Linked DNA regions of Lepisosteus oculatus. Each later gene encodes a partner of the first gene's protein in a complex. Links are inferred from orthologs where the notes say so. Each region holds a gene or a part of one and is shown on either strand. Other genes may lie near its edges.

What was found.
Region 2: polr3d (region 1) and polr3g share a complex: the UniProt entries of both Homo sapiens proteins name them as parts of the RNA polymerase III complex. The link is inferred for Lepisosteus oculatus from reciprocal best matches to the Homo sapiens genes POLR3D and POLR3G.

What each region holds. Positions count from the first base shown.
Region 1 is NC_090697.1:62,943,122-62,950,133, reverse strand, and holds the start of polr3d (DNA-directed RNA polymerase III subunit RPC4), read left to right. Parts: upstream 1-3,987; 5' UTR 3,988-4,094; intron 4,095-4,204; exon of another isoform or gene 4,205-4,405; intron 4,406-4,997; 5' UTR 4,998-5,015; coding exon 5,016-5,159; intron 5,160-6,237; coding exon 6,238-6,281; intron 6,282-7,012. UniProt on the Homo sapiens protein: DNA-dependent RNA polymerase catalyzes the transcription of DNA into RNA using the four ribonucleoside triphosphates as substrates.
Region 2 is NC_090698.1:72,665,290-72,673,170, reverse strand, and holds the start of polr3g (DNA-directed RNA polymerase III subunit RPC7), read right to left. Parts: upstream 3,032-7,881; 5' UTR 2,309-3,031; intron 2,193-2,308; coding exon of another isoform or gene 1,751-2,192; exon of another isoform or gene 1,391-1,750; intron 960-1,390; exon of another isoform or gene 1-959. Other genes in the region: acyl-coenzyme A thioesterase MBLAC2, read left to right, coding at 1,751-2,192, 5,454-5,839. UniProt on the Homo sapiens protein: DNA-dependent RNA polymerase catalyzes the transcription of DNA into RNA using the four ribonucleoside triphosphates as substrates.

The sequences.
Region 1 (7,012 bases):
AACAATTTCTACTGAGCTCACTGTACCACAGAATGCTCTCAGAGCTACTGAACATACTGCAGTCCAGTTTTTTTTTACATTTAGCTCCTGAAATACATTGCGTATGACATCCACTACAAAACATCCTGCTACCTAACACTCTGTATTACTCAAACAAGCACACTAACTTTCACATTAGCTACTCAAGCCCAACTAATTAACCTTACACAAACTTGATGTTGTAAATGGAAAGTTACCCTTGGATGAGATCAGTGCCAGAAGGATGGGGGACTGTTAATTCCTTACCTTCGTGCAGCAAAGATTATGTGGTCAGCCCTGATCTGAAATAAAACCACTCTTCAGATCTGATTTGAGAGAGACCGCAGTGAATTCTTTTCGTCGTCTGTAGTGGATGATGGATCCCTCAGGAACACTGATTACAAAGTGAAGCGAGCCTTGTATTTCTCTCTCTCTATTTCACTATCCTTCTCAGTTGCCCAGCAGCTCTGTCAAAACACTGCGTGCTTCAGTGCTGCATAGCTGCATTGCCCAAATTTGCACCAATCTCACTGCTATAAACATGTACACACGCACATACAAGCACACAATCAAGAGAACAGCTCCCCTAACCTCTATCAATGCCCCCCCCCCACCACCACCACCCCCACTCACAGTGCCCTGGCCAATGAGCCAATGAGCTCTCTCCTGTGCTCATATTTACAGTATCAGATAAACCTTATAACAGTTTATAACACAGAGGTAACAAAATAACAAACACTATTATGCAATTTGTACTTATTGTCCAAAACTGCCATCTTATCAGCATTTGAAAGATAATCTATATCAGTGGTGGGCAGGAATAACAGGTACCCCATTTTTTTTTACATAAATGTGGACCCAGCCTGAATCAAATTCAGTCCAGGCTAGAGGCTCCACTGCCAGAGTCCTGAGAGGCTAACCAGATGCTACACCATATGGAGATCTCTATAGGAAACTCAAAATCCATACAGTTAACTTAGTTTCAGCTACAGTTAAGGCCAGTATTGCATTGGATACAATATGTGTGTTGCTGTAAGGTGTTTTTCTATGAAGTATTTATCTGTGTCCCTCTTCTCTGCCTTCTTTTCCTGTTCAAAGTATATCCAAATTGGGGAAAATCCCATGTACTGGGGCTCTGAGGCCGTAATTCAGCTCCTTTCAGATAACATCATTCCCTACTACATCTCCAACAGCAAAAGATCAAACAACCAACAGAGTACAGGTTACGTGTCATAAGAAAACCAAGTACAAGTGCTTTGAGAAAGACTGAATGTAAGTGATTGGAGAACTACTCAAACTACAAATAACTTCAAATTAACGCACGGCGATTTGACAGCCCACTCAAAATGGTTTAAGACAGTTTTCTGAGAAAATCTTTTTATAGCAATAATGGTTCTTCTAATGGTATTATCAGAATTGTTTTGTATTATTATTATTATTATTATTATTATTATTATTATTATTATTATTATTATTATTATTATTGACCATAGACTGTTTCTGATTGTAATGCAATATGCACGTCTATGCAGGGGGAATAGCGATTAATCTAGGGTGTAGTTTGGAGTCACTGTGTAAACTTTACCATAAAAATTCGCTACGATAACAGTTTATCAGCGATGTGCTCAAGAGAGCGTATAGGCAATCGTGCTCACGTTATTGACAGCGTAGTTCAGCATAACCATCCAGCCGCAAGTGATAACATCGCTGAACCTCGGCAATGTCTCATCTCTCCCCTGCCGGCCGCGGTACACCGAACTCATCAAAGGCAAATTAAACCATCTGTCTTTGAACGGCCGTGACAGGAAGGCAAGGGCGAAGCTGGGGCGAGAGATCCTTGGACTCAGTCAGTTCGAATTTGTCTGCAGTCTGTACCCGTGGTGCAGATTGGGACCGACAGGGATCGTCAGCTATTAGCACTGCGGCAGCTCCGAAATTAATCCGCCTAGAACATTATAAAACAAGTGGCTAAATTAGACATTGGAGCTTGTTGTTGGGCTAAAAAGACAAACGATGAATAGCTGAACGATAAACCACGGATAACAGTCAAAATGCCCTGTTCTTGTCATAGAAATAAGGCAGCGTCTGAGTTTCTAACATGTTGAAATTCGCAAATACTTGTGCCTACAATTACTGTACAGTATGTCTATTAAATTACTGATTCCTGAGTAAGGCGAACAGGTCTTTAGCAAGCAATGCGGTATTAGTCTTATTGTGGTTAAATGTGTGGTGGCTACAATACGCTCTACGCATTGCAAAGCACAAATACGAACATTTGAAAGATAATTATGATATACAATTATGATGTCTCAGTAGTAGAATATTAACAGAATAGCTTTCTGTGTCATAATTTAAACCTGCAGGGCTTTGTTTTGCATCATCATCATAATAATATATGCCTAGAAAATTACATAACGAGTGTATAGGCACCTTAATATGGGTATCAAGATAATGTGGAGTGTTAGATTGCAAAAACATACTGTAGCCTTGATGCAGATTATCATTGAGGGCCAAAGTGTGTAAATCCTGATTATTTAGGTATTGCAATTCTGACTTTTCATTATATTTTATTCTTTATAGTTTATGTTTGTAAATAACACAAGAAAGACAGTAGACAACATATTACTATAATGTAATAATAGTTGAATCCTCTTCTGTCATCCTCTGCATTCATTACATACTATTATCAACAATTTGCCTACATTTTATCAATGATAGTAGGTTTCATTAAATTAAGACTCAGTAATCTGTTAATTGAAGGAAATCCACTAAGACTGTTTTTTAAAAAAATAGTTAAAAATCAGGAAATGAGTGAAAGACAAAAAAGAGCACTAATGGAAGATTCACACTGAAAATAAATATAAAGACAATGAAAATGAAGTTATCACATATAACTACAACAAATTTGCATAGTTTTTAAATGTGCTGACTTTTTTTTCCAGAAACATAGGTAAATTAATTATTCTGATGATCATTTGCTACCAAGAGTGGGTTGTACTGCAAAACTCACAGGCTAGTAGTGTGTGTGGCCACAGACCATACAAGCTGACATTCTGTGACGCATGCTTTGCAGAGCAAAGCAAAATCACAAGGCTGCAGTTATGGCCTTGTGGGATTCTGTGCCAATCCCTCTTGCAGATCCTTTAAGCCACATGGCTGTTCACTGGTCTCTGAACTCCAGTTCAACAATCATCTATAACTGTCTCTGTTCAACTGGGCACAAACGTTCAATGAGGTTCACATCTAGTGTGGGAATCCCAGGCGTTACAGTCACATTTTCACCTTGCCAGAAAGCCATTGTTATATGAGTAGTTTGAGGACATACATTGTCCTGTTGGAATGTTGTCAAGACAGGATGTACCTGTAGGAAACGCAGTAGGAAAGTGGGGTCCCACGACTTAATCAGTTAGATTGCTGTCAGACAGAGTTCTGAAGTAATAATAATAATAATAATAATAATAATAATAATAATAATAATAATAATAATAATAGATGTGACTAGATACTCCTGTCTGGACCTTCACTCTTGGTCCTCTGCATCGATTGGTCTGTTGTGCACTACAATAAGTGTGTCAGCTTGCTGACATTAATCAGAGTGGTCTACACAAAACCTTGAATAGTCTTTAAAGAGAATTTGGCTTCATTGCTGGCAAGGTGCTATATAAATTTTCTAGAGAGTGGTACACGCCATATGTGTTACAACAAATATATAAGAGGTGCATATATAATAAACATTACAATGTCATAAATATTACAAGGTAGAAGTGTACATTTGTCGTTGTATAATGCAAAACAATATAGTAGGACACATCGTAAACATAGGAATATAGATCTCCTACACAGTATCAAACGTATTTCATAGGAAACTTTACTTGACCTTAAGGCGATTCACACATCCCCACATTAGGTGGCAGCACCATACAAGAGTGAGGAAATTTTGCATACCACTTCATTGAAAGAACAACTCTTCTTTTGGTTTGCCGACATGGCTGCTCAATTTTTTTCTGATGAGATACACAACCTGAGCAACCTGTGTGATCTAGTGACGAAATTGCTGAGAATTTTAACTTCAAAAGGTACAACCTTATCTCAGCAGCGGAACGGTAGTGTAATTTGAACAAAACTATTCTAGAAACAACATTGCCCTTACAAACATGGTGGCTAGCACAGGCGAGCAAGGTGAAAGTTCAAAGGGAAAAGTCCAACATCAGTCTGTCATGGTGGTTTTTGCATGAGTTAGGTGTATGTGTGACTCAGATTGTAAAAAAAACCCGACAAAAATAGTGCATTTCAGCTGGTGACGATTTATTTTCAGTATCATTTGTACTGGTTTTGTATCTGAAATACATTTGGAAGAGAAGTCTTTATCGTTTTCTTTCCAGTTCAGGTAAATGAAGTGATTTACATGTGTAGCCAGCTTGTTGTATATGTAACAGGATCGAGCGAGTTCAAGTAGATGGCGAAAAGCGAATTCATTTTAAAATTTTCATCACAACGTTATTTGCTGTTCGTGTAGTACTCTTTCGTTGGCCGAAGAGCTCCGCAGAAGAGAGCGGAGTGAAGTTAGTGTATGGTACTGTAAGGTTTTCTAGTCCTGGACAGGACGAGGCCAGGAGAATAGTCTCAGTGAAAGTTTCACTTTAACTAAAAGATCACGTCTTCGGTCAGTTGCCTCATTTTTAACAGTTGCCCAATCGATTATCCTTGTTGCTTTTCAGAACTAGAGTTACAGACCTCTCCTGTTAGTGGCTGACTATAAATTTCATCATAAATATTTTTCTAAAGATTAAGTACAAATTAGAATTTGTGCTACGTGGATCACACTGATGTGTTTGAGGATGCGCATCACATGAGCCCCTTTTTCTCAGCGACTGGTCATTTCTTTTAATGGTGCCATTGTGGCAAAGTGAATTGTTAGTAAGGAGTTCCTCACGCCTGTTTCTCAGTCGCTCTTATTCTCCATCTTTTCTCTGCTGCAGTGGTGTGATTGTGCAGCGATGTCAGACCCTTGTGGTGGGGATCCCTTGCCCCCAGGGGTGTCTCGGCCTGCGCTGCCCGGAAGGAGACTCCCTGCCCCTGTTGTGACGGGACGCCTGCCCTCCATGCGTTCTCGCGACCTCACCCTGGGGGGTGTGAAGAAGGTAGGAGTGAATAGACAGAGCATGCAGCTCCCCAATTACATAGCAGATTGGTCAGAGACAGATTTTATGAGGTGCAGTGCCATCTGGACTGATGAAGTTCTTGGATGTGTTAATGTAGGTGCAGTAGAATCGAGTGGAGCTGTGCTAATCAAAATACTAACTTTAATATTTCTTGCAACATTTTAGCAAGTGAAATATTCCAGTTGCTTTGCAACAGTTTTCTGAATAAATAGCTGAAGGCATCTTTGGGGTAAGCCTGTCATATGCAGTGTCTTGCACTTCTCCGACCAGTATATTTTTGACGCTAAAAAAATTGTGAGGTGTCCTGTTATGCTTCACTTGGCATCTGGGGGTGAGGGGGCAAAGCAGGAACATTAAGGATCTGCGCCTGTGACTGTAAGGTTGCCGGTTCAAATCCCGCGGCTGGCAGAGGAATCCTACTCCGTTGGGCCCCTGAGGAAGGCCCTTAACCCTAACTGCTCCAGGGGTGCCGTACAATGGCTGACCCTGCGCTCTGACCCCAAGCTTCACTCCCTGTCTGTGTGTCTGTGTCTCCATGGAGAAAAGCTGGGGTATACGAAAAGACGAATTCCTAATGCAAGAAATTGTATAGGGCTAATAAAGAAACATTATTATTATTATTATTATTATTATTATTATTATTATTATTATTATTAAACTGTTTTTCTGATGAGTTTAAAAATCTGTTTCATGTCCTTCTGGTAAAGAAGGTTGAGAACATAAAGTCAACTAGATCTAGGTCTACATATTAGTCTACTAATAGGTGACTGTGACTGGTAATTTAGTGTTGATCTCGCATAATACCTGAACATTCATAGTATATATTTTACCTGTTATAAAAATGCTGCATGGCAATTTTAGTGTCACATGTACTATCTGTTGCCTAAGAATCCGGAAAACCAGGAATGCTAAAGAAATTTCTAAACTTTCAAGCATTCAGACTTTTGACTTTTGTTATTTGTCCCATTTTTATTTGGTTGCTGTTGGATGAGTTTTAGATGGCATAAATCTCAGATGTCACAGGCCCAATCAGTGTCTTTTTTTCTGTATCTTACAGAAAACTTTCACCCCCAATATCATCAGCCGCAAAGCCAAGGAAGAGTAAGTAAATTATCTTTTATAGACAAGTACCACTAGGTCTCTTCCACAGAGTTCATAATGAGAACTAGGCCTAAATGGAAAAAAAAAATATTATAGTCAGATCAGCCTTCACTGGTTTGTTGTATATTTTAAGTACTTCATCTGTATTACATTTTTTTTTCAATCTAAAAAGCTTAGCAAAACATGAAGAAAGACTCAAGTCTAGTAGCAAACTTGCATTTGCAAGCATAATTTAACATTTTTGGTTAGAGTGAATCCAGTGTCTATGTGCATGTTGTCTATCTATCCACAAAAGCCTGTGATTTTACAATGACAACCACAAAACAGAGCCAGTACCAAAATAGCATTGTTTGCGAGGCTGGACTTATGAATTATGCAGGGCGTGAGAGGGCAGGAAGTTCAGACAAGATGGCAGCCTTTATCTGGACTACATGACCCAATAAACTGGGGGGACAGAGCTGCTGTCCTCAGTCACCTGAACAGTTGTTGTAAGAGAGGTGGTCATACAACAGTTTAAAAGCAGGAAGCAAAGGCTTCCAGGGTTGGTCATATCTGCTGTCTGGAGGACAGACGGCAGAGCTTCTGAGATACAAACCCACAAGTTCCTTTTACCCCTCGGTCTGTCACATCCATCTCCCTTCTCTCTTGCTGCTTGGAGGGACTGCCTAGGCCTAGACAGTGGAGGAGATTGGTACTATTAACAAGGGAGGAAAATCCTTTCTTTACTGTGT
Region 2 (7,881 bases), on another chromosome or scaffold:
TGGAGGAGGCGACTCGGCCTTTCTGATGACAAGCTCGGTTGCTCGTAAGTAATTGATACAAAGGTCCACCCTTTTCGCGAAGGAAGTCAGGTTGTCGGCTCTGGCAACATGACTGGGCGGCTTATTCCAGACCCCACAGCCCTTTCTGTAAATATTCCCCCCTGTAATTAGATTTAAATCCCCCTCCCATAGACGCACTTAATTTGCACTGGTGTTTTGCTGTTGATTTTGATCAATGGTCCCCGTCTTTGTCAGTGCATCGGGGAATTGTGAATACTGGAATCAAGTTCTCAATACTAGGTGGGTCGAATAGCCTCCTGCTTTGAACGTTTCTCTGTTCAAGATTAAAACGGATCCTTTCGTATAGCCTCTCGGGGCAGGTAAATAAATGTAATACCATGGCAGTGCAGCTACAGTAGCAGAAGCTGGACAAGCAATGCTGGAGTCAGGCAAAGAAATAAAACGGTAGACCTAAATCAGTATACAGAGTGTGAATACCAGGGTGTCACGTAAACGCCCCATAGGTAAGTTGTATTCATAGTAAGGGCAATTAGCACGTTACTTTACCAGTCTGAGGATGAAAAAAGTCAGATTTTGCCAGTGTATTGAAACACATAGCTGAGAGGCCACAGGTGCCTTGTGAAGAGATTCCTTAGTACTGCGTTTCCCTTGCTCGGCAGAATTTAAAGAGATTAACTTTTGTTAATTCGGAGACGGGTGATAAACACTTCTCTGTATGAAAACCTACCCAGATTAGTGAACTAAAACTAACGAATTAGTCATAATTAATACGGTAAAACATTTTTCACCTAGAAATCTACTTGAAACTAAGGGGAAAAAAACACCGGCGTGACATAAACACTTCAGATAATAAACCACGCGTTTAAAGAACGTGAAGAAAATAGCCTTAAAACATTGCGAAACCATACAATGCATCTGCAACATAATTTAATATTGTTTTTAAGCATGGCCCCGTAATAATAATAATAATAATAATAATAATAATAATAATAATAATAATAATAATATTTTTAGCAGGTTCACAATGTGTCGTGGAGCTCAGAAGCCTGTTTTTTCTACGTTATATTCGGTATTCTGGAGCGACCCACCTCCCTTTCAAATACAATCAGCAGCTTTTACAGGGTCTTTGATAGGAAATGAGCGGGTCTTCACTATAACTCAATTTATTAACATTTCATTTTCATTGCCCTCTGACTACAGGACATATATTCTCCTTATCGGTCATATGCCATTATATGCTGTGTATTACTACTACATGTCTTCTGGAAAGAATGATATTATCGGGCTTCTCGTTCACACCGACTAGAAACAAAAGCGCAACTATATTCCCGTCTGTCAGGCGCTTCAGAGGTCCTGAAAGTAGGAAACCTCCGCAAAGCCAACACCGAGGAGGCGGGATCCCGGCTGGTTTTGGTTCAGGGACAGCAGTCCGCACCGAGCAGGAGAGGGCTGCGCCTTTAAGCCGCCGGGTGTGGCCGGAGCGTGTCGGAGGGGCGCAGTCGCAGGTCCGAGCCAATCACGAGCCCCTCGGACCTTGTTTATCCACTCAGCTGCTTTTTCTCCCTGCAGGCTGAGCGCCTGTCGCGGTCTCCTCCTGTTCTGCACAAGCCAACCCTGGTTTGCATTGCGCCTCCTCACCGGACCGGACCGAGTCTGGATTCGGGGCTCCACGTCCCTGACAGCTCGGTGTCTTTATTTTATTACGCGTGGGTGGGAGGCGGGTGTCGGGATGTCTGCGACGGAGTGGTACGCTCACAAGTGCCTGGGCGACGGCGTGTTTTGGATCCAGGAGAGGTTCTACGAGTCGGGCAACAGAGCGAACATCTGGCTGGTCCGCGGGTCGCACCAGGACGTGGTGATCGACGCCGGCCTGGGCCTCAGGAGCCTGCCGGACTACCTGCGCGCCAAGGGGCTGCTGGGCGAGGAGTCCGGCCGGAAGAACCCCCCGCTGGCGATCGGGACCCACGTCCACTTTGACCACTCGGGCGGGCTGCACCAGTTTCGCCAGGTGGGGGTTCACAGAGCCGAGGCCGACGCGCTCGCCACGGGGGATAACTTTGAGATGGTGACCTGGCTGTCGGACGGCGAGATCGCCCGGGCTCCGACACCCGGCTGGCGGGCCAGCGAGTTCAGAGTGCAGGCTGTGCGACCCACTCGCGTACTGCAAGAAGGTGAATATCTCTAGCACATATAGGCATGCACCAGAGCCGCTTGTGCGTGAAAGGGACGGCGACGGTGCGGTGCGTGGTCATATTGCGCGTTATGATAAGGTAAACTAATGCCTTACCGTTCCGGACACCGGTTTTCAACAAGTGGCGAAAAATACCCGTGGCATCTGCTTAATTAACAGCAGAGTTACACAGAGGCCGTCTCGCATTAGCAGGGCTAATCTGTCGCCCTGCTGGAGGTACGTTCAGCGTCTCTCGGCCCGACGGAGTGAGCTTTAAAGACGCCATACGGCGAGGAAGGTGGGGGAGGGCGCAGGCTGCGCTCTCGTTTTTCCGGTGTCGCATCGAGAAGACGAGCTTGAGTATTATCAAAAACTAAACATAGGTTTCCACAGACGTGCGGCGTTATATCTCTAATAAACTATTTCATTAACGTTGTTGCTTGGGGGTATTTTTTGTAAACGGAAAAGATATCCAGAACACAATCTTGCGCTCGGTGTATTTATGCGATCTGTGCCTTTCCGATTGATTTGGACGTTTAGGGCTCATAGCCAATGAAGCAAATAAAAGCATTGGTACCGGGTCGAAGTACTCCTGTACCACACACTGCTATTCTAGACGAGCAATGAGAAAATTGCGTTAAGGAGCGTAATCGGTCCCAAATCCGATGAACTGCATCTCTACAGATTCATCCGCCTCCTTGATTCGTTACAAGAAGGATGACAGACTGCCTGCACTATAGTCACAATCTTCCACCCCCCTGAAGACACCAGAGAGGGAATAATACTGTATCTCCAACTAGCAGCGCTCGGGGGGTTGAAACGGCCTCTTCGCTCTGCTGCTGGTTCCGCGCAACACTGTAGCCCAAAAGTTTGTCAAAGCACGGCGGTGCAGAAAAAAACACGTTCCCAATTAAATATCCTAGACTCTCTGAGAGAACTATATCTCTGGGGTTACGGGGAGATACTACTGGAATAACTGCACGTCTGCCTTTATTATTCCTAACCAGGAGCTGGTTATTGCGCAGTGAACAGGTGATCGCGCCGTGGCAGTGGGGTGTTTTGGGGGGTGTCCCGGCGGGACTGCGCAAGTTCTGTGGCGTCCCTCGTCCGGGCAGACCGGGACAGGCGATGTCGGGCCGCTGTGGATCGATTTCAGCCAGTTCCGGTAACAGAGTAACTGGACCTGGGAGACTCTGGCCTGATATTTTCGCACATGACCTTCACAGCAGCGCTTTTGTTCTGTCCTCTCACTGATACTTCAGTGATCCCACTGTTGGCACAGTACGATTCGGCACAGCTCTTCTCACACCCAGCTGCAGGACACCGACGTTCCTGCTGAAAGAGACAAATCTGCAAGCGCTGATATTTCTGATATATATCAGAAATTATTTCTGGTATATGGGGAGCCTACATGAGTTTATTTCACTTACAACGGGAAACGTACAAAATGACGAGAGTCATTGTCAAAACCAGTACAGTTTGCAATGTGACCATGGGTTTGTATAGAAGTGGCATTTTTATAAAGCTTTTGGGAGATACACGAAAGAATGCACTAACCTTTACACATATTCAGACGTTAGACTTGAGGTCAGTCTCTCATGCCTTGACCATTCTGCCCTTCTATTATAAGCAGAAAACTAGTGAAAGACTTGGACACTTTGAAAATACTCTCAGCAGGGTTCAATCTGAGATGTCTACTACCTTGCAACCCACATACTGTCTTCAGAAATACATTAATTCATTAATTTCACATGCAGTGTTTAAAAATCCTCAAAAACGAAATCAAAGTGGACAAGAAGGCAGTAATTAGGATTTTAAGAAAATGAACTGGAAGTGAAAATTAAGTTTGCATGCAAGTAGCTGGTAAAATAACAACTAGTAAAATGGAAATCCTTTACTGTGGATAGTAAGCTGTTCTTCCTGTACCTTATATTCACAACATGAGAGAGTGTGAATGAGGAAAGTGCCCAGCTGTGATACCGTGACATCAGTATTGCACATCTTCAAAGCAGCAGTTGCTGTAAAAGTCTTTTCTCTTAATGAACTAACACATCTGAAATACGTGACTTGGCTGGGACCCACTCGGAATAGCTTCTCCTGTAGAAAGACAGACAGAGCCTACGGCTGCTCTACTAGATTGTGGAACCTGAGATGTGGAAAAAATATCCCTGCTTTAGATGGAAAGGAAAAGTGACATCATGTTTTATTGACACTAATAGGGAAAACTGAGGGATATTGATTATCCATAGAATAACCATCCGTAGTTCCTAGCCTTAAGCAGCCTCCATTTTCCCTGAGATGACTCAAACTTTCCCAGGGATTTTCTTCCAGCGTGTCCGTGAGAAGTTTCACAGCCCACCAGTAATATTAAAGGGGGACTGTAACATTATTTTCATATTTCGGGGTCAGCATTGATGTACACAGTAACTGGTAAAACCTCCAATTGACATCACAAAATACATGAAATTTCCAGGTATGTGCAGTGCCCTGTCCTGCCATTCACAACGAGGCAACAAAACTTGTGGTGAGATGATGTGGCCCCATTACGTTGTAAATAAGCCGGCTTGTGCATACAGCTCTTTTCATCCGATAGAAATATTGTCTCAACTTCGAGACAGTTTTGCAGACAAATACTGCTTGTTAGCTCTGCATGGGGATCACGCTGGAATAATTCTGCGGTGAAATGTCGGCTGCGCTACCTGTACTTATTCGCTCGTACATCGCATTGCATTGGTCAGGGCAGGAACTAGTGAGCAGGAAGGGCCGGTTCACGTTGCAATTCTTGGGGACTCGAATAAGTTCCCAGGGGTCTGCCACAACACGGCGACTCCGAATGCACGGTTTTGTGCTTACTTTGAAATTTGTGAGTTTTCTTCTGTACTGTCGATTGATTTAGTTTGTTACAGGTAGGTAGGTCCTTTTACAGGCCATAAAGGCCCATTGGGGATAGGGGGGCAAGGGCCACCATTTTTCTTGACCATCCGACACTGGAGGTGATGTGGTCAGCATCACGCTCCGGCTGACCGATTTCCCCCGGAAGGATTAACCCCGGTACTCGCAGGTTGAGCGGAGCTGGGAGCCGTCTGGAAGGAATTAGGGCAAGCTACATCGCTTAACCCTACCTGGGATTGAACCCGGGACCTTCCGGTCAGGAGCTAGACGCCCTTGCCGTCTGCGCTACCACGGCTCCGAGTTGTTCTAGAGGTCTGAGAAAGTGGGACTGCAGTTCTCCTTGAAGAAGGTGCTCTTGCTGTTTCCTCAGGAGACGTCATTAACCTGGGCGACAGGCAGCTGTCGGTGCTGCACATGCCCGGCCACTCCAGAGGCAGCATCTGCCTGCACGACAGGGACCGCAAGATGCTCTTCAGCGGGGACGTGGTGTACGACGGCTCCATGATCGACTGGCTGCCGTACAGCAGGGTCAGCGACTACGTCTCCAGCTGCGAGCGGCTGGTCGAGCTGGCGGACGGGGGCCACGTGGAGCAGGTGCTGCCTGGCCACTTCAACACCTTTGGGGCCGAGCGGCTGTACCGCATCGCCTCCAGCTACATCGCCAGCGCGGGAGGGTGCCACCGGTTTTCCATGTGTGCCCTGAAGTCCGTCGCAAGCCTCGTTCTCCGTGCCTGCAATTCTAGACACGGGTGTTGACTGGGAAAGGCAAACGGCTGCTTTATACGTTTACAGTATTTTGTTTATGCTAACTGTCTCAATTGATGAAATGTGTTCGTAAAATTTAGCCCAGTACTGCAGTTGCACTAATTTTGACTTTGAAATGGTAATTATTGCACTAGTTTTGATTCTTAAATGTGTGCGTGTTGCAAATGCAATGATTTGGGTTTGCACATGGATGAGTGTATAGCTTTAAGCCTCGAGGTACAAAGAAACATACTTGAAGCACGTTTGCATTTTTTTCTGTAGCTTTCCAAAGCATGAAACGAGGAGTGGCGGAGCACATATCATTTGCTGGGAATTTCGTCTTCACGTGAGACATGGAGAAGCAAGTTTTTATTTTGGCTGATGCTGGTTTGCTGTTGTGGAAGATGGAATGATCTCACTGATGCGTCCATCATCTGGTCTCCGTGGCCGCTGTGTGTCCAGAGCTCCGTGACGCTGGACAGGACCCTGGTGTGCCTCTGGGCTCATGTTCATACACATGGGGCAGTTTAGAGATGATAATTTACCTGGGCAGCATGTTTACTGGGGTGGAGAGGAAAGTGTTCAGAGAACACGACAACAGGCCCCACAGGTGGACTGTTCACTCACACAAAGCCAGATTTGAACCCAGATCCTTGGAGCTGTGAAGTGAGGGCACAGTCCACTGCTCCAGCATGCTGCCACTCATACCACAGTATCATAAGCAAAGACAAGGACTTTTTTAAAGCACTTGTAGGCTTTTGACTGGCTTAGTGGCAATTCAGGGTGGTTTACCAACCCAATTTTATTCAGTTAAGAATGATTCTTTCAGATTCTTTCTGTTTTGTATCTCTGTGCAATCTTGATGCTGAGTTTCAAATTTTGAGTGTTTAACTTCAACTTAACTTGTGTTTCCCTGGATGACGCGAGAAGGCAGGTGGTCATAATTGCTAGAAAACCTGTCCTGTGCTGTGATGGGGGTAAACTTGGACACTTGGACACCTGACCCCTGAGCTTACTTTTGCCCTTTTTCCACTTAAAGTAGAGCTTCACCCCTCTTGTTTTTGAATGTAGGTTAGTTAAAGGGAATTTTTAGTTCTTCTCATAAGAAGGCACTGATTTTTAGTAGATGACTTTAAAACATTAAAACAGTATTTCTAACCATTCCAAAGAATCCCACAGTACTTTACTAATGAGAGAATTGACTTAAGGAGGACATGTTGTGTAAACGCAGCGTGGAGTTTAGGAAGGACTCCTTCTCTCAAGCAGAGCTATGGGATCTGTAGTGACTGTGTAGTCTGAACGTCAGTTTAATTGTTTAATTCAAACACCATCTCCTATAGCACGGTGTCCCCGCAAACTGAGGAACCGGTTTGAGAATTCAGGTCCAGAGGAATCGGCACCACCTACTGGTCTTCTAACATCTCTTAGAGCAGCTGTTTTTCTTTTAGAGGGCATGCCCATACTGACCTGGCCCAGGCTCACTTAGCTTCTGAGATGTGTCAAGAACACTGTCACACACTTAATTATACAGCAGAGGACAGTTTGAGCATTGCAATATTTGTTTTTTCAGATCTGGAATTCAGTAACATGCAAAGATCATGCATGTTTGTGAGCATTAGTTGCAAAATCACATTTATTCTTACTGGCCACCTTGTTTTTGTGCTGACACTTCTCTCAACAATCGTCTGAATTTAACTTTCTGAGTCACCATCTTTGTGTTACGAAAATACCTTTCTTGAGCTTTGACCAAAGCCAGTTTTTATGCGGACTTCTAAATATACTTACATGCATTGTGGCCAGTTGAGAGGTTCAGCTGGTAAAGGCTCTTGCCCTAGGGCAGGTGCTGCTCTTTGAACACGGGTTCAAGCCCGACAGAGTTTTGGCACACTACTGGCTCTGCTGAGCACCACCAAGGGGAGGGTGGGGCTACTTGGCCAGGGCACTTTTGGCTCTTGGCGACCTATGTGGCCTTCTGGGTTCGTACAGACATGCAGTCCTGTAGGCGACCTCCAATCAACACTGATTCTCCAGTAGGCAGTAGTGTCGTATGTGAC